Linked DNA regions of Neodiprion lecontei. The protein of the gene in region 1 interacts with the protein of each later gene in a pairwise test. Links are inferred from orthologs where the notes say so. Each region holds a gene or a part of one and is shown in the gene's direction. Other genes may lie near its edges. The genes, in order: splicing factor U2AF 50 kDa subunit and splicing factor U2af 38 kDa subunit.

What was found.
Region 2: the proteins of splicing factor U2AF 50 kDa subunit (region 1) and splicing factor U2af 38 kDa subunit interact in binary tests that used the Drosophila melanogaster proteins (3 or more experiments, as listed by UniProt). The link is inferred for Neodiprion lecontei from reciprocal best matches to the Drosophila melanogaster genes U2af50 and U2af38.

Annotation. Positions count from the first base shown.
Region 1 is NC_060261.1:3,585,704-3,602,760, forward strand, and holds splicing factor U2AF 50 kDa subunit, read left to right. Parts: upstream 1-7,090; 5' UTR 7,091-7,227; coding exon 7,228-7,249; intron 7,250-7,337; exon of another isoform or gene 7,338-7,352; coding exon of another isoform or gene 7,353-7,377; intron 7,378-8,104; coding exon 8,105-8,355; intron 8,356-8,468; coding exon 8,469-8,729; intron 8,730-8,808; coding exon 8,809-8,959; intron 8,960-9,045; coding exon 9,046-9,101; intron 9,102-9,654; coding exon of another isoform or gene 9,655-9,678; exon of another isoform or gene 9,679-10,833; intron 10,834-12,302; coding exon 12,303-12,584; intron 12,585-12,684; coding exon 12,685-12,849; intron 12,850-12,973; coding exon 12,974-13,105; 3' UTR 13,106-14,374; downstream 14,375-17,057. Other genes in the region: serine/threonine-protein kinase/endoribonuclease IRE1, read left to right, coding at 1-116, 203-565; ankyrin repeat domain-containing protein 27-like, read right to left, coding at 3,053-5,866; uncharacterized protein LOC107224427, read right to left, coding at 14,490-14,644, 14,735-14,818, 15,293-15,335. UniProt on the Drosophila melanogaster protein: Necessary for the splicing of pre-mRNA. Binds to the polypyrimidine tract of introns early during spliceosome assembly.
Region 2 is NC_060262.1:38,672,124-38,686,492, reverse strand, and holds splicing factor U2af 38 kDa subunit, read left to right. Parts: upstream 1-5,903; 5' UTR 5,904-6,045; coding exon 6,046-6,089; intron 6,090-6,205; coding exon 6,206-6,293; intron 6,294-6,368; coding exon 6,369-6,435; intron 6,436-6,528; coding exon 6,529-6,817; intron 6,818-7,598; coding exon 7,599-7,652; intron 7,653-8,188; coding exon 8,189-8,513; 3' UTR 8,514-8,886; downstream 8,887-14,369. Other genes in the region: A-kinase anchor protein 200, read left to right, coding at 1,489-1,653, 2,008-2,085, 2,201-2,245; COMM domain-containing protein 8, read right to left, coding at 4,696-4,854, 4,918-5,070, 5,160-5,321, 5,420-5,485. UniProt on the Drosophila melanogaster protein: Necessary for the splicing of pre-mRNA. Binds to the polypyrimidine tract of introns early during spliceosome assembly.

The DNA of each region.
Region 1 (17,057 bases):
TTGTGCAAGAAGATTGGCGCTTACACATAGACGTCGAAGTTGCTACCGATCTTCGAAAATATCGAAGTTATCGTGGAGAGAGTGTCAGAGATTTGTTAAGAGCTCTTCGAAACAAGGTGATTTTATTTCTGAGTCGTGTCGGATTAGATATCAGCAAGAAAACTAAATCCACTTACTATACGTTCTTTTTTCTTCATTGCAGAAACATCATTATCGAGAATTGACACCGCAGGCTCAACTAAGCTTGGGACAAATTCCAGATAAATTTACAGCATATTGGTTGAATAGATTTCCAGCTTTGTTGAATCACGCGTGGTGTGCGATGCAGAGTTGTCGTGATGATCCTAGTTTAAGACAGTACTATGATCCCGAGTTTCAATTTCCTTTTGAGGTTGATAGTATAGACGTTTCACAGAAGTTAGAAAAATCATCTGTTCCGTCATGGAGAATACGTGATGCGGTCAATTGGAGTCCAAATCGAGGAAAATATAGGGGACAGAAAAAACGACAAGAACGACGAAAAGCGGTGGAATCTGTCCCCTGGACGTTGCCTCCGGTGAGTTAAGGTAATAAGAATGTTAGTATTCTCTAGTTACGAATAGGAATAATATTACAAAGCTAATTTTTAAAAATACACTACCTGATTTGAAATAGATTATGCACATAGAAGAGGTGGTCTACTATTGAACTCAAAATTTATTTATCGATACTGCTGCTCAATTTTTGGCTCTGAAGAGAAAATGTGAACGGTTTATAAAAACGATCAATCCACAAGGCGATTTATTTTCTTAATATTAAAGTCCGTTATAAAAAGCAGTGCCAAAATTTCAGTACTTAGAGTACATAAATACATTGTATTGTTGAGTGGCCTTAAGGAATGCCGAATAGTAGACTAAGCATGCCGAATAGTAGACTACGCGATTTTTCTATCTTTAAAGATACCCTTTTGGTCTACGAATTCATAAATTATGCGAATCGAAAATTCTTACAATACAAACGTCATAGAACTTTGTTCAAGAGTTTTTGTATTCCTTGGGGGTCACTGACGTTTAAATTAAATACGTTTGAAGTAAGAAATTAATACAGCGAAATTCTAAAAAAGAAAATATCTGTTCTCCAACAGTAGTTAGTTGACTTACTTACCTACCTAGTTACTAATAGGGTGGGAATCAAGGGTACTTAGTAACTCAGAATTTGGATAAATATCCAGGATCGAGTAGAGTGTATTTTTTTACCTGTGATCACTTTATGTCTGTAGTGAAAAATTATCTGCTGATATATGAACTGAGAGCTGTACAATGCCGGGTTTGATTGCTCAGACATTGTGTAAGTACATATAATAGAATCAAATAAAGGTAAAAGACAGGAATTAGCGACTTAAAACAATAGTGAAATCTCATTGAAAAAATTTCTCTCTATATCAAAAAAAAATAAAATAAAATAAAAAGCAATACAACGCAGTACTAATATACCTGATGCAACTGTTTCAAGTATTAGAGTTTACCGATAAAAACGCTCTGATACGCTCAACCGTGGCATGATGTAAAATTATGTGCTCATCGTCAAACGGACATTGTTTTTATGTATATCACATTTTATATCAACATTTTCAATGTTGAAAAACAAATTTTAAGTCATGCCAACTTGTTGCACCGATAGAAATCGTTGCAAGAGTATGTAAAAAAGTATCAGTAGTTTGATTTAATGTCTATGTTGTGATTATGGAGTTGGGGTAGTCGAAACATTTGAATGAAACAGAGTTTGCTTGAGATTTTATAGATCGTTGATTAGTTAAAATTGTCCGAATTACACAATCGACAAAAAGATGTCTGGTTTAACAAAATAAAAGTACTCTAGTGATCTGTTGTGATAACTCGGAAAAAATTGTATCATAAGTCACGAAAAATCTAATTAATCTATGCGTAGAACAAGTTATGTATCTTTTAACGATATTGTAGAAATGACGATTTCTATTTATGTATTGTTTAATTCATACACATACAAGATACACAGACTCAAAAATAGTTTTTGCATGTATACAAAAGCTTGGATGTGGGGAACTGCGACGGTTTTGAGTTTTATACGATTATTTACTCAAATTATTTCTAAAGATTATAAACTTGGATATATTGATAAGACACATTTTTTAAACATTCTAAAAGCCGCATTGAAAAACCTGTTTTAACGTATAGAAGAGGTCAATTAATTTATAGCTGGCAATCAGATGTCAGGATCCGTCAGAGTGTGCAATGCTTAAATCTGTTTCTGAATCAAAATATCTTTACAGATTTTATCTTGAGATATTACGTTTTAACTGATTGTGAAGCACAATTAGTTTAGATTGGATTATATTTATATCAGTGAAATTTTATCCAAACATGGAATGTATATTTTGAGGATGACCAATTACGTGTTAATTGATTACGAATAACAGTCAATAATGACAAGCATAATATATATTTAAGTAACATGTTTGCAAATACCATATAAAACTGTACATAGCAAAAAAATGGTATATTATATATTATATTTTACACGATTCATACATTATTGTATATACTATACATATTAAAGTTTGTGGTAAAATAAAAACTAAAGAATCAGTCTAATTATTAATGTTTGTCGCGATTTCATTATTCATGTGTAATCTGTAATTTGTAACGAAATTTTGGTACGCATGCATTATTGCTTATGTTGATTTGTACTTAAGCTCGTGGCTAACAGCTGAAAAGAAAAAAAGGACCTAAATTCGATAAAACTAAAAATTGTAGCCTATCAGCGTGATTCAAGATATAAAATAACTTGAGTATAAACTACAGCTATTCCTTTTCATCTTTGAGAGCACTTTCTTCAGTGAACTGTATTCACAAATGTTAAACACTGGTAATAATACAAATTTCAATAACGATTGTTGGTTTCTCAAAGACCATGGCCATTTAGTGACTTATTTCACGAATATTAAGTATTAATATAAACATTGGTACTGTTTATTAGGCAATATGCGTAGTCTACTGTTTTGGTATGTAATTTTTATAACAGCTGCAACAAATAGCTAAGTAGAAACAGCGGTTTGTTCATTCAGTATTCTAGCTATACTGACCATAACTTTTTCTTCAGCTTCTTCTAGTGCAGTGATGGCTTTCGAATTACGAATCTTAGGATTAGCTCCATGTCTAACTAACAATTCAACAAGTTTTGCATTGCCTGTCCTGGAAGCTAAATGGAGCGGAGTGTCTCCAAAATTATCCTTAACATTGACATCGCATTCTCCGCTATTTAAAAGTATTTTTGTTACAGCAAGTCGACCATTTAAACATGCGAAATGCAACGGGGTTTGCCCTCTGGACTTTGTTTTAAAACCAAGCTTTGCACCTGCGTCTAACAGTAACTGAACAAACTCTGCACGACCAGTTGCGCTGGCAATATGCAAAGCAGTCTGGCCATCACCACCCCGACTATTTATTCCTAAGGCAGGCTTCCGCTGATGTTCCTCGGGAACTTCTTCTATCAAAGTACACTGTTCACAGTTACAAAGTGGGTGGCACATCGCAGGTGCTGTAGTTTGTACAAGCTTCTGATCAGGTCCCTCTAAGCCGAGATAGTAGTAAGCCAGTCTAAGATCACCTACAGAAATTGCTGACAAGAGTCTTTCAATTCTGCGAAGTCTCTCTGTGGAATAAGGTGGCTCAAATTGCTTTTCGGTTTTCAACGACTGCGTCATCGCCGGTGAAGATTGGGTTGGCACCAGGCGAGGTGTCGAAAAAAATTCTCTGTGCGCCGCAGTTTCCAATAACTTAGAGATGCTAGTACTGTGTGCTAGCACCAACGGAGTTTGGCCTCTTCTGTTAACAGCTCTGGGTTGCGCTCCGTGTTCCAGAAGGATTTCCACTATTCCAGTATAGCCCCATTTTGAGGAGTAATGAAGCGGCGTGTCTCCGTTAGTGTTTGATGAATTTGGATCTATCGGGCATTTAGTGTGCTCCAAAAAGTATAAGATTGCCTTGACACAGGCTTCGTGACCATTATCAGCCGCTAAATGGAGGACAGTGTTCCCGTGAGCATCTGTGATTCTCGGGTCGGCATCAGCATGAAGTAATAAGAGTAATGTATTCTGGTGTCCTCTGGCAGCTGAACAGTGCAAAGCAGTAGTACCATCCGCATCAACTTCATCAACATTACTTCCGTGACTTATAAGCAAGTCCACCATGTTAGCCTGACCGTATAAAGCTGCGATATGAAGGGCCGTTAATCCTCTGTCATCTCTGGAATTAACGGTAGGTAAACTGAACCTTGCGTCCCTGGCTAAACTTTTTTCGCACGATTCACAGCAGCATAAAGGATGACATAGCTTAACATTTGGCGGTCTAATTTTATCTATAGTTTCCTTAGACAGTATTCTCTCAACTTCTGACGTATTTCCGTGTTTTACTTGGTCAAAAAAATGACTGATTGATACTTCATCCACTCTGTTTTCTTCCAGCTCGTCTTTACCAGACACGTATTCATACGTGCCGTCTGCCTCAGGGTGGACTGATCCTGTCAACATTCCAGATTTGATATGCTCAATGGCTGCCTCAAGAGAAGTAACCAAAAAGCCAGCTTCATCAGTTTCATATTCTGAGGTCGATGAAAACCTAAACTGTTTTATAAACGTTAGCTGAGCTATCCAATTAGGCAGACCCGCTCTTATCACCAAGAATATAAGAACTGGAAGCAAATCGTCTGATGAAACTGAACTCTCACCTTGTGATGCAAAGTGAACCGCACGTTTAAGGCAGCCTATTTTTCCCAGAACCGTTGCGAAACCATCGAGCCTTGCCAGCTCCAATTTTCCTCTAACTGCGCCGCCGTAAAGATCAGATCTGACGCCCAGGTCCCGTAGTTGCAATTCGTGCAGGTTTTTAATCGTTTTATTAAGACACGCATCATCAAAGGCGGTGCAAGCGGAAACATATTTTGGTAAGAGGTTCCTCAACCCGTAAAGAACATATGTTTCCACCGCGACTTTTATACCGTTGAGAAAATGCCTACTGGCAGTTGTTTTCTCCCTCAATCTCGAATCCCTGAGAACAATGCGAAGGCTTTTCGCGTACAAACCAGCAACAAGATCACGCTGAGTTTGCAACGGTTTATCTTCAAGCTGATCCTGGTCAGTTTGTTGATATTCTTTAACCGCATTATCCAGCTCTTCGAGCACCTCCTTGTTCAATATCTCCGTCCAGAGAAAATCTACGCATTCTCTGAGATTTGTCAAAGTGGGCAGGGACTCGTACGAAGTGATAGAACTTCGCTCCAGAATCCGCTCGACACACCATATTCGATACTTCTGTGAATCTTCGGTATAGAAGGTTTCCTCGAATAATATATGCGCTGTGCATGGCTTTGCGATATCGTAATCTACAGTTAGGACCCTGTTGCATAGCCTCACTTCCTTGCCAGTCAATGTTCGGAAGTGAGTAGCTGGCAGCTCTTCGCTTGGTACCAAAATGTGTCCGAGGAAGTCGTCGGCCAGGAGAGAGCCTCGGGAAAAGCTGCCTGAACGAGGAACGCAAATGACCCAACCCTCGTTTACCGCCTTTTCAAATACACTCGTGTACTCATGCTGCAATTGTTGAAAAAATATATTCACGTTCAGATCCTCGTCGTAATTTGATTCCATATCTTTTATATGATCCCATGCGTTTGTCGCTGATGATGAGGTGTCTCGATTTTTAACGAAATATAAATTGCTGTGCAAAGAATATGGGAAAAATATCTTGTTACGACATTTATTCGATTTACGTCGAGGTTGCTTTCGACGCCAAAGGCCTAAAGGCACAGGAACGTCAAAAAAGTGCGAAAATAAGGTTAATACACAACGGCACATCAATGAAATTTATTTTATTCTTCGAATCCGTACACTTTTCGACAAAAGTATCGACTCTCCTTCACGTATTTCTTTCATTGCGTTTTATCGCTTTCGATTATAAATAATTGTTATTGTAATTTTTCTGCTTTGGCTGCTGTCAACGGTTACTTATCAACGACTTTTTGCCTTGTCTTATTTTATTTCTTATTTTTTTTTTAATATTGTTCACCAGTCGATAATTGACGCCTCTAACCCATACTGTTGCAAATCGAATCCAACAGATGGCAAGAGAGAAAAATATTTACAATCGGATAGATTGCATCAAAATGCATCGCTTTCGTATTGTTCTTTTTTTTTTTTAATTACTTGTTTTTTATTTTAACCTTCATTTTTAGAACTATTTAACGCGATGGATTATTAGAAACACGCAGACATCATAAATATAGTATTATATTGTAGTTTTATGTTTATTTGTAATATAATCTGCTATTAGTTATGTCGATATACGCTCAACAAGATTGCTTTAGACTTCTACGAATTTGTAAGTTGGGAATATTTTTTATCAGTTTATTTTGCGTTAGATACTTATTTTCTTTCCTATTATATACAAGCGACTTACGCAGCAGCTGCATGGTGATGTGTAAATTAAATTATATTACAGGACTCTGTGAGTGATCCAAATTGCTGGATTTTTCTCATTCAAAATTTTTCCCCCGTAATAAAAAATTATAATTTGACCAGCCAATCGCGAGCCGTAAAATATAACGCGAATATGTAATATTATGATTTTTTTTCATTTAACGTAAAAAGTACGATACTGCAGAAAAAATCCGATGATGGTTATAATAAGGTCGAGTTGAAAGGAGGCTCAACATTTCTTTCATTATAATTTTCCAATACTATCAGATAGGTAGCTGTTATTGTGATATTACGATCTAGTTTGGATAATTGTGAATTCGGCGCGTTGCTTCTGCGTGCATAATTATCAATCTAAAACAGGAAATAGTTATATATGCCATGCGCCCCATGCTTGATATAACTTGCACATTTTTCTGCAAATATTTTTGGAAATAGTTGCGATTCTTTATAATATCTTTAAATATCCCAGTAATTATATAAATTTTCAATCATTGGATAATAATTACTATTATCTCAATGATGTTTATTGACCGAATCAATTTTGCCGGCCATTTTGGCGTCTACAGAAGTTTCGTCGCTCGATAACTCTCGAAAATCGAAAACTGTTCACTTCCGTCATCTGGCTGCTCGCTACGCCGATATTCCGATTCTAAAATAAGGTGTCACCCGTCGTGTTACGCATAGTGAATAATTGTGATATTCATTGTTGTGAATAGTATCGCTGTTTACGGTTTTTCACAATGGGAGAGGACTTCAATGGAGGTGAGAATATCGTCCCTAAATCAAATACATATTCAGACCCCGTACTAACCTCCTCGGCGGTGGTCTCCTGGCGGTTTCTGCAACCTTATAATAAGATTCAGTAATGGCGGCAGCGTCTATTACACCGAGTAAACACACGGATCTTATTTCGCAACGTATACTTACATTCCAACCTTTCAACGATTTGCACCGTACGAAATTCGAAACTTAAATGGAATCTGATAAGCCTTCGAGCCGCCTTTCGCTGTCGGGATGAATTCCATGTTTGGCCCTATTATACTGGCAATCATCGTGGGCAGGGTTCTAAAATCTCGTCACAGTCACAATGTCATTTATTTCAGTTGTTAACAAGCCAGAAAGGTTCACTAGCCCTCGACTAGCGGTAATTTTTTCTTGACACTATTATTGTAAACTAATCTACTTGGTTATGATCCCTTGTACGAAAATTACTCTATACATTGTTTTTTTTTTTTTGGCCAATTTGCATTTGAAGTATTCATTTCGGAGAAATATGTTATGGCTTGGGTAGCGATGTTTGAATTTGAATTTCAAGGAACAATCCGATACTTGATAATTGTTTCATTTATTCGTTCCCTTTCTTTTTCTAAAATAAGTTGAAAACAATGTGTCTGCTTCCTTTAGTAAATAATTCCAAGATTAGATTAAGTTCAGAAATTATTAAGGTAACAACATTTATGGTAAAAGTAGATAAGGCTAAAATTAGTTGAGAAATGACTTGGGCAACAACATTCATGTCAAGAAAAAAAAAAAAATTAAACTTTAAATAATTCTATTATCATGACATGTGTACTGAGAATAGAAATAATAAAGCATGGATATCATTTTATTCACCAGAAGAGTCATTTGCAGATCGCGAGCGTCAGGAAAGAGGACCAGATAGAGAAAAGGAGAGGGAAAGAGACAGAGATAGGAGACACAGATCTAGGAGTCGGGACCGTAGGAAGCGGTCACGGTCTCGTTCAAAAGATCGTCGTGACAGAAAACGGAGCAGCTCACCTAAAAAGGGTCGCAGTTCTCGCAGGAGAAAACCCTCTCTTTATTGGGATGTTCCGCCACCAGGTTTCGAACACATCACGCCATTACAGGTGATACAGTAATATAAAATTGTTTGTGGTTTTTGACAATTCGAACGCCATTAGTTTCAATTTCAAAGCTTAGATTGATTCCAAATCTTATTCAATCTTTTTGTTTTTTATAGTACAAAGCTATGCAAGCTGCAGGACAAATTCCAGCGAACATTGTAGCTGATACCCCTCAGGCAGCAGTACCTGTTGTGGGCAGCACAATAACACGTCAGGCTAGGAGACTTTATGTCGGAAACATTCCATTCGGAGTTACAGAAGAGGAAATGATGGAGTTTTTCAACCAGCAGATGCATCTTTCCGGCCTTGCACAGGCTGCTGGAAATCCCGTACTTGCCTGCCAGATCAATCTTGATAAAAATTTTGCTTTCCTTGAGGTATTTACTCCGCATTTACTGGCTTTGACTAAATTGATTCTACCGAACCACTATGTCATTTGATGTATATTTCTTACAGTTCCGGTCCATTGATGAAACGACACAAGCAATGGCTTTCGACGGCATTAATTTCAAAGGACAAAGTTTGAAAATAAGGAGGCCGCACGATTACCAGCCGATGCCTGGCATGACAGATAACCCTAGCATGAACGTGCCAGGTACGATTCCTGGTATGTGCTTCTGGTCAGATGTAATGGCACGTCAGAAATTGAGCACAACTTTTTTGGTCACATGGAGAACTTCTTTCTTTTTACAGATTCACCACACAAGATTTTCATTGGCGGTTTGCCCAACTACTTGAACGAGGAACAGGTATGTCAGCCAGATGTTTTAAGTACAAACTCAATATTTACTTGTTTGGGTTCATTATCATTTATTATCTGTGCATATTACGTGGGATGCTAATTTTTTCATCAATTTTTGTGGAGAACGTTGGTTATTGCTTTGTGCAAACATATTTTTTTTTCTCGTTTGCTTTTGGAAAATTAATGTTGTAAGTTAGTCGCTTTAAACATAGCTCTTTCTCAGCTTTTAAGATTCAATGTGAAACTGATGAACTAACATACCGAATGCAAAGAAATTTTCAAATTGCTATTCCTCGAATCATGATAAGACGGTAAACGCAAAATCCAGACTTGAAACATCCCCGTAATATTATTTGAAATATTTTTTAGTGAACACTGGTGGGGGTTTGAGGATCGGTATCGTTTCAGCAAATAAATGCATATTACGATATCGTTTCTCACCGCTACAAGTGAGAAGAAATCATTAAATTGTAAACTAGGTATTTAGCGATCTGGCAGAGACTCTGCGTACAACACCCGTGTGTGAGATTCCTGAGAGGTATGTATTGTTCCGATTTCAGCGTCGTTTAGGGTCGTTTAGCTAGCATAGAAATGTAGGGGTTCATTTTTCATTTTGCCTCTTCTACGAGATTTCGAATGAAGTTACGCCTGTGTATTTTTGTCCATCCAGGAAACTCATTTACCTTCGCATTTAATCAATTTTCCGCGAATTTCGAAATCAGATAAGACTGTACTTGAAAGGTGTGTGCAAAGATTGTCGATGTGCAAAAGATTTTTTGATTCATTCAAAATATCGAGTATTAAGCATGTCGTACAATTAGGGCAAAGAGGCTAGTGGCGTTACAGCTTTTAGGTGGCACGCTGTCGCAGTGACGTTTTTCTTTTACAGCCTTTCTAGGTACATTCATTCGTTCGTACGGTGGATCCAGCCGATTGTAATTTTTATCCTAAGGATTTAGACATTTTTTTTTTTTTTTTCTATCGAAGGAAATGGTCAAACTGAAGCTGGCAGGGCGGGCAGGGGGGTCATTTCAGCCATCTCAACACGTCTGGATATTCAATTGTAACAAAACAAAATGAATAATTGCTTTAAATTCTTATTTGCAAAAAAGGAAACTCTACAAAATGTTTATTCACAAGGTGAATGAGATGAAGGGAGAAATGGTACAATGTTGGTCATATAACTTGCTTTCCTTTCTGAATCGTATATTTTTTGTTTTTTTGCTCATAAGCTAAAGTTGGAAGCAATTCAATTCTGGTATTTTGTTAGAATTTCATGTCCGGCTGTTGAATATTTTTTTTTTTTTAGGTCTGCGGGAGAAATGAGTGGACAGTCCATAGAGAATTGGGTATTTTTTTGGGTGGGTTTACAGGTATTTTTTTAGGTGCATCTGGTTATGACTACAGATTTTTATCCAGTATCATATATTTCAGGAATACTTTTTTTTCCTTCCTATTGCAGCTGTTTTCTTTACAGGCACGTTCTACGTATTTCAGGCATTCAACTTTTACAGGCCAATAATTGTATATTAAACGAAACTAATGTTTCTTTTCATGATAAAGTAAGGATTTAAAAAGTCAAAAAAAGTGTCTTGTTAAATTTATGATGAAAAGCATAACAGTGATCTTATAACCGTAACATAACAAAAGAAAAAGTACAAGAAATCAACAACAAAAATGAAAATCGTTTGGAAACATAAAGAAAATGTGGACTGATACCAGTGCTCTTTCTCCCCATTTCTTAGCTTAGGGTCGTGCCGATCAAAAGCATTCGCTTACCACTACCACTACTTCTACCACTACCACTACCACTTCTACTACTACTACTGAACATGACAAAATACTACACTTGCCGGAGTGCGGGTAGTCTGGTTTCTTGAGGCAAGTATTCATATCAGTTTGCTTGTTTTCACATTTTGGAAAGAGACTTTTGCAGCCACTTGGACGGCGACCGTTAAATGGCTTCTGAATTTGGTGCGTATCTTAGATTTTTAAGAGTTTCACGATGACAGCACGTGATCCATACTTGTCAGACCTGGCTTTGGCCTCTATGTACAAATGTGTATGGAATTTAACTTTGCGCATCTTTGGATGTGACAGTTATTTTTTTTGTATGAAAAGAGATGACTTACTTGGTTGAAATTGTATAATTTACTGATACAAGTTTAACGTGCTGTTATCAACAAAAAAAAAAACTACAACGTTTCCAGTGTCTCTGACAAAATGTCAACACTGTAAGTAGACAAAAGGTATAGTAGTGCGCATTAGTGCAGTATACAACCCACGATTCTGTATTTTTATGTGTATATGCATATTAATACATTTATCACAAACCCTCACCTTAACGCACTTCGTGTTGCATTTGGTACAAACTTTATATTCAAGAGTTTGTATTTCATGTATCGAAATGCGTTATCGTCTCATGTACAAATTTTATCCATATCATTTAATTACGTTTAAAAATAGATAGACGAGCACATTGGCGTGCTAAACATTCAACATTCCTCACATTCATTTTTTTAATGATTATTTCGAAATGCAAACTTTGTTAAAACAAAACATTGAAATAGTCGATTTATTTCTCTCAGTGGAAACGAAAATCCCTATTCAATTTATTTTCTACAAGTGTTTGCGTGTAGTTAATAGATTGTAACGATACGCGATTTCCATTTAAATTGGTTTAACAATCAGCAATAAATTCCTCCTTTTTGTTACTTGAACAATAAACTTTTTCCATCACAATTTATTTGTAATTATCTTAATAGTATATGATACATCATCAGTAAATATAAGTATATTGTGACATTTATGAAAGCAATGAAAGTAAACAGAACACTTGCTGGGGCTAGTGGTTGTAGATGATCTTAAAAAATTGCACAAGAAAGGAACAGGTGAACAACATAGATTATAGATCGATTCTTCAATTCTTTTTATAAATAAACAATATACGCGAAAAAAAGTAGATTGCTATTGTACCAGATTCTTGCCATTGATATACGAAGTATTTGAATATTCATAATCATGATAGAGCCAATTTTGTTTCTTTTTTTGCGTTCAATTCGATTCGTTGATATCTGCTGAGAATATGCCAGACTTTGACAAAAAAAAGTGAGCAAAATCGTTATGTTTCAAAATAGACATTCCACTTTCAAATTTAATCAGGATACCTCGGAATTAATACTTGAAATGATTGATAATGAAATAACAGGTGAAGGAACTGCTGATGAGCTTTGGACAACTCCGGGCATTCAACTTGGTGAAGGATTCAGCTACAGGATTATCGAAAGGATACGCGTTTTGCGAGTACGTTGATGTCACGATGACCGATCAAGCTATAGCTGGGCTCAATGGGATGCAGCTTGGGGATAAAAAACTTATTGTACAACGGGCCAGCGTCGGAGCTAAGAATCCAATGATCGGCGCTCAGGCTCCAGTTCAAATTCAAGTTCCTGGTCTCTCGATGGTTGGCACTAGCGGTCCAGCTACCGAGGTACAGGGGACATTTGTTTTTTTGAAGAAGTTCTCTTTTTGTCGTGATCGTCAGACCAAATTGAACCTTTACTTGAACTACTTCAATAAAATTTTTCTAGGTGTTATGCTTACTCAATATGGTAACACCTGAGGAATTAATGGAAGAGGAGGAGTATGAAGATATTCTTGAAGACATCAAGGAGGAGTGCAACAAATATGGAGTCGTTCGGTCAGTAGAAATTCCTAGGCCCATCGAAGGCGTTGATGTTCCTGGATGTGGAAAGGTTCGGCGTTTTATCAATATTTATGCAATTATTTACAGCATGATGAATCGTTCTCCGAATTTCATCGATTAACTGCCATATTGTCTGTAAAACTATGTCTAATCAATGATTAACTTTGTTCCAGGTTTTTGTTGAGTTCAACAGCGTGATAGACTGTCAAAAGGCACAGCAAACGTTGACTGGACGAAAGTTCAACAATCGAGTCGTTGTAACGTCCTATTTTGACCCTGACAAGTACCATCGCCGAGAATTTTAAATATATACGAGTTCCATTCCTCGTAACAGTCAATAAATAATCAGAAATTGAACGCAATTGTCATTGTAGCAAAAATTTTGTCTACTTGTATGTTATTCGTTAATTGATATGCTTTTAACTATGATCAAGTGCTACTAAATCAGTGTATTGATATTATTTTTAAAGTATTCTTAGTTTCCCACTTTTCAAATGATTAGAAGAAGTTGTATCTCATTTAAATTTAACATTTTTTTTTTCTTTCTATGCTGGACCATCCATTGGGCGTTTCCCTTTTTTTTTAAATATCTCTCTGCTTTTGCTCTCTCTTCTTGTGAATCATATACAAAAGCAACATTACTACGGTAAATATGGCTATGGCTAACAGAATCAGTACCTTGCGCGATAACATGAGATTAAACGTTGCCTTCGATATTTCCCTCTTCTTAGTTTTATATAATTATCAAAGGCAAAGTTTGTGCTTACGTGACAATGGTCTATTGACGATTTTCAAGACGTATCCAGCGTTCTTCACAACGGAGTAACAATTATCTACTAATTATCACGAGCTTTGAGAGCAATTCATTTAATATTGAAGCAAATACGAGCAGAACTCTTATAATAATATTGTTTCTTTGTGAGTCGCAAAATTGTCGTTTCGTGCTTTAATTTAATACGGGCACAAGGTACGGTCTCTTTTTTATGGCTTCCTTGTGATCTGTACGGAAATCAGCGGTTACCTTTCCGTATGAATATAAGGTCATTTGTTTTTCATAATAATTTCTTTCAAGTGCAACCAATGCTCTTGAGAGTTGAATATTTGCTTCAGCAAGTCGACAAATAATGATTGATTGAACATTATTTATAATGAATAATTAATACCTATGTGTCCCCGAAAAGTAGGGGCAAAATCTTGCGCAAAATATGTTATTTATTTAATATATACATGATTTATGGTGAATTTTATTAATATGCCATGCATTATTATTTGCAAATTAATACAATTGGTAGAATATATTACCTAGATTTTGTCGCTACTGCCTAAAGTATAGGCTAACGTCCAATCAGTATAAATAAAATTAAAAGAAAAAAAATAATGACTACATTGAAACAAAGAATCCTAATTTTTCGCTCTTTATTGGCAAAGACATACATGTAAATATAAATATAATATAGAAAGGGTATAAATAAAATTTGTATCATCTTGAGTGGGAATAACAAGTTTTTTGTTTTATTGTATGATGTTTAATCACAACGCCACAGAGACGTAATGGAGAATTTTTTAGATCGGATTCCAAAAAAAAAATTTTTGTTTCTTCGCCTATAAGAATAACATTATATTGACGTAAAATTAAATGTATCAAGACGATGTAATAAATGGGTGATTATTTGAGTGTGTTAGTAGAAATTAAATTTCTTGTTGCAACGCAGGCTGGTAAGAACTGTCTGTATCCACGCTGTCCACTACCAGCCTTTTTAGCAGGCCGTAAAAACCAGCACCGATAATCAGCATTCCAATACCGGTCATCAAAACTATTGACCAAGCTGGAATTGCGGTGCCTCCTGAAATATGATCAGAGTTTAGTTTTCAATTGTATTTTTCTATAAAAAACGTAAAACTTGTCGTGATTGTTTGTATTTTAATTTACTTACTGTAGTAACGTCTGGTTATTGTTTTACGTCCTCTGAGAATTTTACGCCTTGCTTCAACTTCTTCCATGAACATTCCCATGATCACTGTATTACATGAGGAGATCAAACGTGTAGATTAATGGATGAATAATGATTTATTGATATCGAGTGAAATACTTAGTTAGCATTTTTGCGAGGTATATTTTTGATTTTACTTCGTTAGGACGAAGTTTGAGGACGTGAAATTGTACAATTTTTATTCTAATGTGACTGTAATTCGCAAAATGAGAATAACTGCAACAAAATATCAAACAACATTGGATCATTGCAAGATATTCGGTAGTTTCATTAGAACATGAAGAAGAATTGACCCACAGCTAGTTTTCCGTTGACGAAGAAGCAATACATTGCCTTGCTATCTTTTACATTCAATAGCACTTTGTACAATTTTAAAAAAATTGTTACATTGATCGGACAAAATTGTTCAGCGTATAAGTATCTTAGGAGTAATCCTAAGTAATATAGAGTAATTTTGCTTATATATATAAATTATATAAATTATCGCAGTGATAAACTTACATAGACCAATGGCAAAGTAGTACAAAATACTTTTGGCACGCATTTTTTATGATTTTTCTTTTCACTTTTCACTATTAAACTCTACACGAATTGCACACAATCCAGCGTTGAAGGCTGCTTCTCACCGAATGTAGCACGCCTCTTTTTACCAAAGATAGCCTCATGAATCAACAGATAAGAGATACCGGTAATCAAGTATTTTATCTGGCTGACACATCCAGATAAGTTATTCTACAGTGGTGTGTGAGAGAGGTGTTGTGATTCTACGTAGATTTCGAAACTGTGCGTATGTGTTTCAAAGATTCCGCTGCATGCGAGCGATTGGAAAAGAAGTCATACATGTATATTCTATATACTCATCTACTTTTTATATTGCCAACATTGACGATATGCATTGTGATGAATCGCATAAGTGACTTTTTAGCTGTCAACTAGTCTGATCAGGGGTGACAGCCGGAAAACTAAGATAATTCTTCGCATCTCCTCAACTGTTGGTCCTACGCTGTGCCGCATGTCTTTTTTGCAACCCTGAGGGCCAAATTAGTCTGGAAAGGGACGTTTGAAACGATTATGAAATGAAAAATCATTGGCTCTGGAAAAGTAGTAATAACCTCTGTGCGGTTTTTCGGTATATTTTTGGATGAATGACAAAATGCGATGATGATTACATTGTTATCCTATACCGACGTAATTTTGCGAGGGGATTCGATTGCGCGCGGTCCCAACACGCTGCCAGCAACGAATCATTAGTTGCGGCCAAAATACGAAAGAGAGTATTTAGACATTGCAGTACTGCTGGTTTTTTCCATCGTCGTTTCTGTGCAGTTGGTCCTACGCTCTTTTCGCTGCGTTTTCTAAGTTCCTGGGGGTACACTTAGTCAGAAAATGGTCGTACAAATCGAATCTGAGACCAAAAATTTTTGGCTACGAAAATGAAAAAAAAGTAAGGCTAACCCCTTTGCATTTTTGGTGAAAATTTTCGCGATTTTGAAAAGTGCAGGAATAAATTCTCTCATGCACTATTCCGACGTAATTTTGCGAGAGAAATCGATTGGACGCAGTCCCAATACACTGCGATCAACGGATCAAAAGTTACAGCCAAAAAACCAGAACCTGCGTTTTTGACATTTTTCAGCTGATGCTCTTTGCTTCGTAATTTCTCTGCCGTTAGTCCCACGCTTTTTTCGCTGCGTTCTCTGAGTTCCTAGGGGTCGAATTAGTCAGGAAAGGGTCATAAAAATCGAATCTGAGACCAAAAATTTTCGGCTCCGAAAATGAAGAAAAGAGTAAGGCTAACACCTTTGTATTTTTGGCGAAAATTTTCGCGACTTTGAAAAGTGCAGGAATAAATTCTCTCATGCACTATTCCGACGTAATTTCGCGGGAGAAATCGATTGGACACAGTCCCAATACGCTGCGATCAACGGATCAATAGTTACAGCCAAAAAATCAGAACCTGCGTTTTTGACATGTTTCAGCTGATGCTCTTTGCTTCGTAATTTCTCTGCCGTTGGTCCCACGCTTTTTTCGCTGCGTTCTCTGAGTTCCTAGGGGTCGAATTAGTCAGGAAAGGGTCATAAAAATCGAATCTGAGACCAAAAATTTTCGGCTCCGAAAATGGAAAAAAAAGTAAGGCTAACCCCTTTGTATTTTTGGCGAAAATTTTCGCGATTTTGAAAAGTGCAGGAATAAATTCTCTCATGCACCATTCCGACGTAATTTTGCGGGAGAAATCGATTGGACGCAGTCCCAATACGCTGCGATC
Region 2 (14,369 bases), on another chromosome or scaffold:
GGATTGGAAAATTCACCCAGTTGCCCATTGTTGAAAGCTGTACCAACCGCTGTGCCGGAAAACGCCCAGGTGACTAACATGCACATCCCTGGCATGATCAAACGCGCCAAATATTGGTGAAAAAAATTAAAAAAAAAAAAAAAAACCAAACCAAATTTCACTATTTGATTGACAACTGTCTCTGTGTGCGCTCCAACACTCTGTGATAGCCTGAAGTATTTCATCCTTGATTCCCAATTGTATACGTTCCCCCACATCATCATCCCGTATCGATAGAACTTAACATATTACATCCACCTGTCATTGTACTTGCCGAAGATCGCATTCGCAATTTCTGTCATGTAGAGCTCGTTGTGGGGTTCAGCATGACATTCTTAGGCAACTTATTAATATTTATATCGAATAGCATGATGCAAGATACACAGAGCAGCATTTATCGGCTTTGAACTCTCTTTCCCTTGTTTGTTGGATTTCCCTTGAAAAAACCAAACGAAATAGTATTTGTACGTGTCTATAAAAACAAGGTATCAGCCACAGCATTATGGAATCAAAGAATTCTTTTTTAAGAATTCTCGTCGTTTGTTACCCATAAATTTTAATCGACGCCTGTGCTCTTGGCAATCTGTCTCCTATCTCACTCTCCAGCGACATTCGCCTGCCATTAGTATCTGTGTGTTATAATATGGTTACGAAAATCTTTTACCTTTCTACGACACAAAATTATTAACAATCTCTAATACTATGTCCCAAAATTCCCGAACCCATGTGTTGTTTGCCTCTTGGTTTTCTTGAAACATTAACATAATTTTATTGCAACTCAAAATAAAGTCAGAGCCACGTAGATTGGCTTTGAAAAATAGAAGCAAAATTGATGCCTGTAATAATGATAAAATAGTGGAGGAAGTGTTCTTCGGAAAAAGAAAACATTGTTATGAATAACACACTGTTAAATAATTTGAATTCTAGAAAACAAACTCATTGATAGACGTAGTTGAGCTGAAAAATTTACTATTAGTTAGTAAAATCTAGAAATTGATAATTAATCAAACAAATTTTCAACGTTCTCACTTTGTAGCCTTGTTTAACGTCGCGTCTGTAGTAGAATATGTGTTACATGGTATGCTGCGCATGTGAATTGTCTTGCCTGGGGACTTATATAATATTATCATTGCATGAAGTTATCGAAATTTTTATACTTGTCATTCGACCGGATCAATTATTTAATAACATCCATTTGGCGTAGTAAGATATTTATTCTACACATAAGGTGAAGCATTTAAAGCAACCGGTCTAATTCAAAATAATGGAAGTAAATATTTTGCATCAATAATTCACACTTATTTGATGCGTATTATCGAAAATGCACAATTTAATCAATGAAGTATCATTTAGATTTACGTAATTAGTACAGAGGGAACTTGGGTGTATGTACAATTTAAGTGGAAATATTATTCGAAGCTTTTGTCTGATGAGGGATTCATTTCACAGAAAATTGCCGAGCCTGAAGCGCCTGCTGAAAACCCAGCTGAAGTTAGCGCAACAGAGAGTGTGACTGAAGCTCCGGCTAGTCCTGCTCCACCTGTACCAGCAGAGCTGCCAGTGCTTCCGCCATCGGAGCCCGCTCTCACCGAAGATGTAGCCTCTGTGACCAAGGTAATCAATAAAGATATTTTTCAAATGTTCAAACTACAGTCAGAATTCAATAGAGAAAAAAGACTACAGACGCATTGTAGTCAGAATAAAGTTTCGATGAAAGTTTGTTGTAAATCTTGCAAGAATGATGATCGCCAATCGACTATTTATTGCTCGTCGAGTATAGGTAGTTCTGAATTTTATTAATAAATAATCAAGTGAAGACTACAGAGCGAGGGGCCATCTGACTTATATATAATGCATTATTTTCGTTTTATTCTTTACGACGTAGTATAACATTTTTTACAGTTATGTGTTCCTAATCTCCAAAACTTTGGTTGTCAGATTATCAATTATTCATTTTCATCTTTACAGGCTATTGAGGACTTTGAAATCAGCGACAAAGCAGTAGCGGCTGCAGTCAACGAAGCCATCGAGAGCAACAACGCAAACGTGAGTATGAAGTTATAGTAACAATAAATTTGGATCAACTTGTGAATTGAATTGAAGAAAAGTTTTGCGCAGTAAATTAGTAATTTTTTCATCATCGTTCTTCTTAATGTTACAGGAAATTGTCAATGATTCACTCCACCAGAAGGTTATCACGGAATAAGCAGCGTTAAACCGAATTGTATTTGGGAAGAAGAAAGTTTTTTTTTCTCGTTAAAACCAAAAAAGTATATTATATATATATACATACACACATATATATATATATGTATACATATATTTGGACCATTCCTGCAACTAAACAGAAAATAACGTTCTTTTATTACGAGCAGCAGAAAGAAAAGCGCGATTGTTAAATGAAACATTGTGAGAGCATACAGACTTTATAGTAGACCCATTAATTATTAACTGTTTGATAGGAAAAAATCTTTGGAAAAACACAAGTGGAAAATGGATAAATAATTTAGTAATTGGAAAGAAAGTAGTAATCTAATTAATTGGTTTTCATAAATGAAAAAAAATATATATCAGTCACCGAAATTCGCGCTCGAGCGATATACACTTCTTCATAAAATAAGTGGATGAACGAGATAGATGATGGCGTTTTATCTTTGGGCAGTGCCCATCGCAGGTGACAATTTTCCTGCCATGTAGAAATTTTAAAGTGTCATTAATTATTAATTAAGCCCAAGAAAATATTGAAAGAATTTGAAAGGCCTACTGTGCGTTCTAAGTGAATTGGAGTGAGATAGATGGAACTCTATCTTGGGTACTCCGAGGGAAATACTCAAAGGGTAACACCCTATCGACTCAGCACAATGCACCACGTGGAAAAGGAAAGACGAAAGAAAACTCAAGAAAAAACTACAATACCACAACCACCATTAACCACAACGCAACACAGCGTAGCATGAATATGAAAGTTAGTTTCACATCGGAAACCGTGCATAAGTTTAATTATTTTCCTCGTATTTTTGTTTGTCGGTTTTTTTTTTTTTTTTAAACTACAATGTTTTTGTATTTATACTATTTGAGATGTTTTAAGTTGTAATAAAGAGCTGCACACACGTACACACACATAAACATGCACACTCACGCATAACTTACATACGGAAAACGAGAATAACACGGTACATAAATGGAGTAAATATACAGTAAGATTGAGCAATGTAAGTGATATATAATCTAAAAAAAAAAGAGCCAAGTGTGTCTCGGGATGCTAATTATATCCGTATAAAATACTTGCAAAACCTATCCTAATTTCTATAATAATTATTAAAAGAATATTGCCTAATTACAATTACGATGCCCCGCACATCCACCCAATTATCCCTGAAACACCTTTTACAAATTTTTCATACGATATTTCTACGTTTATACGAATCTCCGGAGGTTGAAGTAAAACTTACTAATTAATTAATTATGAAAGATTTTATTAAGCTCGTAGCGTAGAGAGTATAAACCTAAATGAAATAAAACGAAAAAAAAAAAAAAACTTAAAAAGAATCCATATGTACGCCCCAAAATCAGAATTATTATTCTAAGTGTTAGAGAAGCGTGTGGCCATTGCTCTTGATCGACATTGGTTTTAAAAGATATACCTATTGATAAGCAAGAAGGAAGTAAAATTAAAAATTGTATAGTAAACCCCTACTCTTATGGATTTTAATTATTATCTGTAATAATGGTTACAAACTTACAACGAAATTGAATGTTCTTTCGAAATAAGATTTGACGATAAACCAACAAATCTTTCTATTTAAATTCTTTCGATGCGACTGATCTGCACCAATCAATTATATTAAATCGTAAATCTAAAACGTCCCTGAATCATAATCCCTCGGTATTTTATGTTGCGTTGAAGACGATATATTTTAACGTGGAGTTTCATTCGTGGACGTTTTGGAAAATCGAAATTCAGTTTTCAGTGTCTGATCCGCAGTTATAATAATAACTAAACTATTCAACATTTATCTATAACAAACCTATAATAAACTGTGAAATAAGTGTATCTATTCTCTATAATTTCCGACTGCCTCATGATCCTCTTAAACTGTCCTATAAAACGCATTATGCTCTCCTATATCAGCCGACTTGAGTGAACATACTTACTGCGATAAGGTACAACGGGGAAAAAAAAATCTGGCGCTCATAATAGATATTTATATATACACAGTTCGCATAGTAAAGCACTTTAGAGTTCTATAAACAGATGATTACTTGTTCATCAATCTTACGACAACTCAAATTATTTGTATAAATTGGGTGTAAATATTACATATACGGTACAATTGAATTGTCCAGGAAAACGTTTGGTTTTCTCATTATTCTGTAATTATGCTTTAGGGTCAATGTTGCTTCATGTAATTTATGTCAAAATCAAGATTTTTAGTATTCTCATTCTAGGAGGTACCTACTTTATGTGTGCAGTATAACATTTTCGACATAAGGTTTTAATACTACAATACTTGAGTTTTCAATACCTAAAAATAGTATAACTTATGGGTATGATAGAAATAATTAATACGGTGGAATAGAATAAGATTATCCAAGCGTAAGCATATCTTTATTCTGAACGCTATTATAATTTCGGTATAATAACAGTTTTTCAAATCAGCCTCCCACTTCCTCCAACGCATTTATCAACATGTCGAGTTCATCTCTGTTCAACTCAAGATCGAGGATTTGCTGACTCTTGCTATCTTCGATGATAAGATCCAACTGCAGAAGAGGTTCTTTCAACGTGGCGAGTTTGCTTGATCCCATAATCCACTAAAAGGGGTAATTATTGAATTTTATCAGCTGACTTATACAATTATTTCTCTATTCAAGTACCTTTAATCTCCAGTCAAAGTCGAGCAACGTCGTTCCATTTTTGATTGAATGCTCCCTCAATAGCGCCTTAACCAGATGCTCTCTTCGTATATTTACACATGTGCGTATCGCAAGTTGTAATTCGGCAGGCGTTTCAACATATCGATGTGGCATCTGTCGCGTAAATGATTACGAAAAAAATGTTGAATAAAAAAAGTCCAAGATACTTAGAATAAATGAATGAATGATTGTTGATAAATTACCCTTTCATTTTCAAGATACAGCACTGCCGGATTTCTTAACAAATCGAAAATAACCTGACGGGCTATTTTGTACTCATTCTCGGTCCATTCAACGCTGTTTGTAAACTGTTGAAACGTCACTCGTTTCCGCCCGCATATTTCGTCGACACAGGCGTGAAGGAACTAGAAATCGAAGATGGGAATGGTGATGGACCTAACGTTCAAACGATACGGATTTAGTTTAGAATTAATAGCTTAGATCTTTATATTCACACACATACCTGGTTCATAACATCGCTATTTACTTTTGTAAATATATTTTGTAACAATTCAGTTTCATCCTCCATTTCGGAATGGCTTCAATGATCCAGTCACAAATGATCACTCTGTCGGTTCTTAAAACTGCCGTTGTTAAATTTGTAGCGCAGTAGCCTGCTTTCGGGTCTATGGGTCGAACAGCTCCGATAGTACAGCAATGTTGCCACTCTGAGGAAAAAATCACTATAGTTAAGTATAATTTTGATTGGAGGGATAGACAATTTGGTATTGGGATTACAATTTCTTCGACAAAGTTGTGCAATAAAATGAGTCCTATATAATATGAAAAATATTTGTATTGATTATATTGATTTGTTATTCATTGGATCGTACATTCTGGACCTGAGATTTGAATTTTAGCGCTACATTCGACATTAGTTATGTCACTGATATTCTAGAGGGCGCAGAGATTCGTATACGGAAAATTACATTGCTGCCTTATGCCAGGTTCCACTCACCGCTACACTCTTTGTTCTGGAGCGTGTCGCGGGAGGATGGTCTCCGTCGGTTTTGTTCTGACGTGTATTAATTAACTGTTTATCGTTCGACGGTTTTCAATTTGGAGTCCAATAGTAAATAGAGGCGAACCATGGCGGAGTATCTCGCGTCCATTTTCGGTACCGAGAAAGACAAGTAAGTGAATTTAAGTTCGTCAAACTCTTCTGTATTCTGTGAGAAAAAGAAATTATACATAATCAGCGTGTGGGCTGTGCGTTCTTGATTAACGGCGTTCCGTTTAACCTTTACAGAGTAAACTGCTCCTTTTATTTTAAAATCGGAGCTTGTCGGCACGGAGATAGGTGCTCACGTATCCACAACAAACCTACGTTCAGCCAGGTAAGCAAATACCTTTTTTGAATTATTGATTTATAACCTCTGATGCACAATTGAAATGTTATTTCTTCTTGACAGACATGCCTGCTTCAAAATCTTTACGTCAATCCGCAGAACTCTGCCAAGAGCGCTGATGGTTCCCATTGTGAGTATTGAATCATAGAAGGATTTAATAATGAATCAGACCTTTGTTAAATTTGTATCATGTTTGTTAAATTAATTTCTTTTTCACGAATAGTGGTAGCTAATGTTTCCGATGAAGAGATGCAGGAGCATTATGACAACTTTTTCGAAGATGTATTTGTCGAGTGTGAAGATAAGTATGGGGAAATAGAAGAGATGAACGTTTGTGATAACCTCGGAGACCATCTTGTTGGTAATGTCTATATCAAGTTTCGGAGAGAAGAAGACGCGGAAAAAGCAGTCAATGATTTAAACAACCGGTGGTTCGGTGGAAGGCCTGTTTATGCCGAACTATCACCCGTGACAGATTTCAGGGAAGCCTGCTGCAGACAGTATGAAATGGGGTAAGCACCAGGGTCTTAATGTACATGTATAAAGATTTTCTTTTAATCATGGATTAATTTCGAGCTACGATTCTATTTCTCAAAGTTAACATTGTATTTGTTCGTACTCTGATGTATGAGTTTTTTTTTCAGGTATTACTAGTTTTACCTATTCGACCTTGATGTGCAGATCGTTGAAATATTTATTTACCGAGTGTCAGATCGATTGTTTTATAAAAGAAACATTCTAGGAATGTTTTAATTCAGCTCACAATCGCACTGAGCAATAAAGTTTAGACTATCTCCATTTCTGGAACTAGATTTAGTAAATTTTATGGAGAATTCTATGTTCAATGCGAAGTCGTTTATGAAAATTGATATTGTGTGGTAGTATTTCTTAAGAAATTATAGTTACAGGTGTGAAATTAAGTCAAAATAGCAATGAATGCTAAATAGGAATTAACGAATTGGTGTGTGAAAGATGGTAATGCGTGCTTGTATTTCGATGAAAATATTCATTTTAGTACATTACAAATTGTGGTCCTTTATCTAAAACAGATTTATGGTGTGTACTTGCATGTGTTTTGGTTCTTTATCTCTTTATCTTGACTAGGATCTACAGTGTTAATGAGAAGTTAATTGACTTTATTTTTCCATGGATATGATGCATAGATGAATCTTGTCGTGATTGCAATATCTGTCGCTTATGCCTTGCCGAGAAAATATCACAAAATGTCTCAATTGTTGTGATCCCTAATTAGGCAATGGAACAGGGCTTAACTAAATCAGTTTTTTCAAACAGATTATCCATTCCAGTCGGTGATGGTGGAGAAATCAAGAATGAATCTGCAATCGGGCAAGTTCAATGGAAGTATTAATTTCCAAAAATTCTTTTTGAACTACTCCAAAAACTCGTAATGTGGAACAGGAAAGTTCTGAATCGTAAACAAGCACACAATGCAACTAGAGACTGCATATATCATGGTTGCATTGCCCAACGCTTTTGAATTCACCTTTTCCTATTAGCGTCGAATTTCCTGTGCGATCAGATTATCCGCATACGTGTTTCGTAGCCATTTATAGTAGCGCAACTTGAAGAGATATAGAACCATCAAAACAATCGTTTTTATGTCCGTAAAAGAAAATCTTTTCCTCACATCAAGGTGGACAAGAAGAACTGTTGTTTCTTTGCATGTGTAGAATGCACTTCAAATTAGATATTGAAATGCATTGCTTATTTCGAAACGTTGATATTTGATTGGTCTCTGGTTTGAAAGTCCGTATATTTTAGTCGATTATTTTCCAAATTGGCAGGCAGAAGAGATAAATTTATTTCAAGATTCTTGGAATTCTTTGGTCGAGTTTCTAAATATTCAATTTTCTTGCTTTCAGAGAATGCACCCGTTCTGGATTTTGCAACTTCATGCATCTGAAACCAATTTCAAGAGAGCTGCGCCGTTATTTGTACAGCCGCAAGAAGGGCGGCAAGGGTGGTGGCGGAGGTGGCGGAGGTGGAGGTGGTGGTGGAGGCGGAGGCGGCGGCGGTGGCGGCGGCGGTGGTGGCGGTGGTGGTCGTTCAAGGTCTCGATCAAAGTCACGAGGCCGTACCGATCGCAAGCGTAGATCTCGCTCTCGCGAGAGAAGATCCAGATCTAAGGATCGTAACCGCAAAGGAAGAGATGATAAAGGTCGCGACGGAAGATCTGGTCGCTATTGATGTATCTCTTTCCTAAATTCAACTGATATTTCACTATCATTCAATTTTCGATGTAACAAAGTTGTCAGAAGCATATTTCAGATCTTTGCAGTAAGTTTCGAGTACTGTGGAAAAGAAACGAGCCTTATCAGTTTTTACAACAGAAAAACAGAGTTGCAGTTACTGAATTAATTATAATGTCGTGATACCAATAAGTTTATCAATATAATAACTGCGTTATAAACGACGTTCACGTGTGGAATAAATATTTTAGCCGTAAAATATCGAAATCTCTCGTAACTAGTATTATTTTGAACGTCATTTTGTGAACTGGTATTTAGTCAGTTATTGTAAAGCAACAGTTTGTAAAACAATAAACAATGCTTGAAATGTACTTGAAATGGTATCGGCTCCAACAAGTAAACCAGTGCAGCATTAGTAAATACTCGAATGGCGTTGGTCCTTTCCTGCCCGATTTTCACTACCATCGAGATTTGACCAAGGGTTGTCCAGGTAGATTGTATGTACCAATAGGGTGTTTCAGAAAAAAATGATTTGCGATTTTCCACCCTGGCACCTCCTGAAAAGTTGGTTTAGGTGAACATAATAAAAAAAAAGGTTCTGGAGAAAGATGAGCGTTCTACGTTATGTGGAAGATGAAATGTCAAATCAGTGTGATCTTCCACATTAGGCTGGAGTTGCGTTTTTGCGATTTTCAGAGCTTGGAAATTTATTTTCTCAGAATCGTTTCGCAGAACTCTTTTTCCGCTAATCGAACCCTCAGGAATGCTAAAAAGTCATCAAAAACAGCGTGGGACCAACAGCAGAGGAAACACGAAGCAAATTTTTCGTTTTTCGGCTGTAACTCTTGATCCGTTGGTCGCAGCGTATTCGGACTGCACGCAATCGATTCCTTTCGCAAAATTACGTCCATATTAGGTATAAATTAATCGATTTCAGTATCTTCCAAAATCCGTCAAAAATTGACTGAAAACATCCAAAGGCCTTGCATTGTTGCGATTTTCAAAGCTCCGTAAATTTTCGTCTCTGAATCCTTTTTGCAGAAGTTTTTTCACCAATTGGGCCCTCAGAAATGGAAAAAAGAACTTAAAAAGAGCGTAGGACCAACAACAGAGGAATTACGAAGGAAATCTTTTGGTTTTCGTCTGTAAGTCTTCATCCGTTGTTCGTAGCGTATTCCATAGAGCCTATCTATGTATAAGCTCTATGAGTAGCTGTTCGAGATATAAGAAAATAATTTCATACGTTATAATTATTCTACTATCGTAATACATGTAATGCATTGAAATGAATCAAGTATTGATATCCTTTTTATCATTGTTTATAGTTCAGGAAAAATAGCTAAAACAAATATTTCACTTTGGGCATAATATTGACGAACTTGTCAAGTCATATTCTTCTTCTCAATCGTCGAAATGCTAAATATTAATTCTTGTCAATTCACAGTTTCTCAAAGTGCTAAGAAGGACGGTTAAAATCTGGTTTTCACAGGACAAATTTTGTAATATTCAGAATTATATACATAACATTATTGAAAGATCAACGGCTGTTTGTCAATAACTGATTTTCAAGGGAAATCATCCGATAGCTTTCAGATTATTACATCCTGTTTCCAACGCAACATTATCCGTAAGAACAATTTTTATCCTGTCGGATGAACACACTACCGGTATCAAAAGATACTCATAGTTATAACCTGCTATTCCGCATGGAAAGAAATTGAAGCCAGTATAGTTAAATCTTGCACTGTTGCACATTTGTTTAATTTCAAGAGATGCGTATTGACTACATTGTTACGTGCTGAAGGTGCGGTTAAAAATGTTGAAAATGCTGTCTAGAAAGAGACAAGTGGTTTGTAGCCACCTACAACAAAAAGCGTACCGAACACGGTAATCGAAAGTAGTATATAGCAAGATGATAACCCGAGAATTTATTTGCACGTATTTATAATTCAACACATACATCACTTTGTCACAAATCATAATCATCCTTATCATCATATATAGTATTAAAGTTCGAAACCAAATTTTGGATGTTTCGGTGTTCGGATATTCAGAAATTGACGTCACCCAAAATTTTTTCTCTCTTGACGTCATCGATCTATAGTAATCGTTGACGACGAAAATCAGCTAACCGAATTTCTCAGTCCGGAAACAACCGCGCAGTAGAGAGGACGTATGAGAATCGCGCTCCGCGGATTTCGAGTAGCAGGTTCTCTACCTCCTGGATCCTGCGCTCCAGGTCCGATACCTGGTGAAACACGACTTCCATGAGAAGCGCTCCATGGTTCCCGCGCTCCAGGTCCGCTACCTGGTGAACCTCGAAATCCAGGACGAGCGCTCCGTGGTTCCTGCGCTCTAGGTCCGCTACCTGGTGAAACACGACTTCCAGGACAAGTGCTCCGTGGTTCCTGCGCTCCAGGCCCGCTACCTGGTGAACCTCGAAATCCAGGACAAGCGCTCCATGGTTCCTGCGCTCCAGGTTGGAGGTGGTGGGCGATGGTGGTTAGGGGTGGTTGCGGGTGATCGAGGTGGACGAGGAGGAGGACGAGAAGGAGGAGGACAAGGAAGACAAGGAGAACGAGGATTTCTGCAAGGTGGGTAAAATATTTTTATAATATTTAATGGCAATTGTAATTATATTCTATCCAAAATTTTTGAAACTTTTCATGTTTACAATAAATTATTTCAATTCATTTTTCGCGCAAGCCCGAATTCGGTAGCTATCAATGAGCTAATAAAATTTGTATAATTTTTTCTAATTTTCTCGAAATCTTCTTGGTCAAATCTGTGAATAAAACAATCATATTAATCCTTACACAATATTTTTCATGTGTTCTAATACTGAAAATATTTATTAGTATTCGAGGTATAACCCGAGGTGGTTAGCGAAGGTTGTTGGAGGTCGTTGGCGGTGGTTGGACGTGAACAGAGGTGGTCGAGGAGGAGGAGGAGGAGGACAAGAAAGATGTGGGGAAGGAGGAAGCGAAGGAGAAGGACGGAGGTCGTCGAAGGTGATTGAAGGTAGGCGGATGGTGGTGGGGTAATGGGTTGGAGGGTTGGTAAGGTGATAGGGTGGTGGGGTGGTGGGGTGAGTGGAAGGCGGAGTAGGGTGGGGTACTCTATCCATCCCACCCTACCCCACCACCCCGCCACCCTATCACCTTACCAACCCACCAACCCATCACCCTCCCCTACCCTACCTTACCCTACCCTACCCTATGCCTTACCCTACCCTACCCTACCCTTCCCGCGCCGATCCTCCTCCTATACTCCTACTTCTACTCCTACTCCTACTCCTGATCCTACTTCTACTCCTACTACTACTTCTACTTCAATCTTACTCCTACTTTTACTACGATCTTACTCCAACTCCTGATCCCACTCCTATTCCTACTCTCACTCTTGAACCTACTCCTGATCCTACTTCTATTCCTACTCCTACTCTTGATCCCAGTCCTCTTCCTACTCCCAATTCTGAATATTAATGTTATGGGATGTATAGACTGCGTGCCGAATTGTATCCCATATCGAAACGAACAATTCTTTTACTGTCATATTATAGCCGATTATAGTAGATAATCTAGTATGTTTCGTAGAAAATTATAAAATTTATAGTATGCATCACGTATTAATCATGAATGAATCACATATATCAATGTCGTACATGGACCGCATATACATTTATACTTCTTGGTCTCTGCATCATTATTACTTCTGATCTATTTTTATTCATGATCTATGTATACATTCTTCTCTCGGGTACCTATACTTTAATTAAATCACTGTTTCGCTACCAATTTTGAAAGATATTTATTCTCATTATTAATTTCTTGTATCGCCAACAACTCGGTAAGTACACTCAGGCCAAGTACTGGCCTGGTCTTACCATTGCGAAGACTGCGTTACTCAGAAGGTGAATGCAGCCAGCATCATGTCGAAATCGGAATCTCTCTGATGTTCTGCAATAAGTTCTCAACTCTACCGTTAGAACATCTCACGGAGCAATTTTCGGTTGTCACTCTCTTTATATTCTTCATCCAATGGTAGGGCTGACCCCTTTGCATTTTTGGCAAAAATTTTCGCGATTTTGAATAGTGCTGGAATGAATTCTTTCATGCACTATTCCGACGTAATTTTGCGAGAGAAATCGATCGGGCGCAGTCCCAACACGCTGCGATCGACGCATCAAAAGTTACAGCCAAAAAACAAAACCTCTGATTATATGAATCCTTACGTAATGTTTTTGATGTGTTCTTATACTGAAAATATTTATTGCTATTCCAGGTACAACCCGAGGTGGTTATCGGTGGTTGGCGATTGTTGGAGGTGGTCGGAGGTGGACGTGGAGGAGGACGAACTGAACTGAGTCTCAAAGCCCTGTTGACATAAAAGCAGCTATTCGATAGAAATTATAGTTTATAGTTTACACAGCCCATTGCATGATATTTCATTATGAATACATATGTTTCAATGTATTTAGGAATAATTTATCAAATATACAGAGGTCATGTGCAAATAATAAATGAATTGATTCGACCGCAGTTTGATGTATTCATTAGAGCTTTGACAATAAATTTAAGCTTTGTTACTTCTTTTATTTTATTATGGATAATCAAAAACATTTCCGACTATTCGTGCTGTGAAAGCATGGGGATCAAACCAAATGTAGCAAAAGATTAGACACAGTGTATGTAGAGTACGGGTATTTTTCTAATAATGCGAATAGAATAGAATACCACGCCTTGCGAATTAGCTTTCCAGACAGAGATGAATGATGAATTTTAAGGACTGCATTATCGTTGTTGAATACTCTATGCCTCATGGGAAAAGAAAATCTGTAACGATAAAATTGATGCACCGGATCATCGTCGACTTTAACTTTTAAAATGTCCTACCATTTTCGAACGCCTCCTACCTCCCCCTGCCACCTCCGACCATCAATGGCCACTTTCGACCACCCCCTATCACCTTCTGCCAGCGCCGACCACCTCCTACCATTGCCGAACACCTCCAACCATCCTATTTACCTATATTACTAGATTAGCTATGATATGAAAAAAGAAGAATTATTCAATTCGAAATGGGATTCTATTCGACGCGCGCTCGATGTATTCCATAACATTAGTATTCATAATTATTCCAACAACTTTTCATTTGCTCTCTCGATCTTGAATTTTCATAGGCATAGAATCGAAACGCTGATTTAGCTGGTCGAAAGTGAAGCATCTGCGTTGGGTGGAGGAGCGGAATTGTTTTTCGAAAAGTATTCGGATGGAAAAAAATTCAGAGTAACTGCAATACATAACGGATGCGCTAATTCTGAACGAGATGAAATGGATGCTTCGTATATGAGACAGTATTTAACGCTGCGTAGTGATTTAAAGACCTAGAAAGGTGATAGGGAGAGAAAGAACGACGCTTCTCAACACTTCGAGTGTATTTTAACACACATTTGAAAGATACGAGCGAAATTTTTCATCATCCAACTGTCGCAGAACGGCAGCGTTACTAGCCGACCCGTTCACTGATGAATATATCTTCAGTCAACGGCTGACCATCGAAGGGCCTGGCCGGTCGAGTCTGGAATCGGCAGGAGAGATAAAGTGTGTATTTCTTGTATGAAATGTGAAACCTAAAATCATTATACATCATATCATATCATCATACATCATACATCATACATCGTACATCACACATCATCATACATAGTATTAAAGGTCGAAACCAAAGTTTGGATGTCGGATGTTCAGAAAGTGACGTCACCAATCTCAAATCAGCTAGCCGAATTCCTCAGTCTGGAAACAACCGCGCAGTAGAGCGGACGGATGAGAGTCGCGCTCCGCAAATTTCGAGT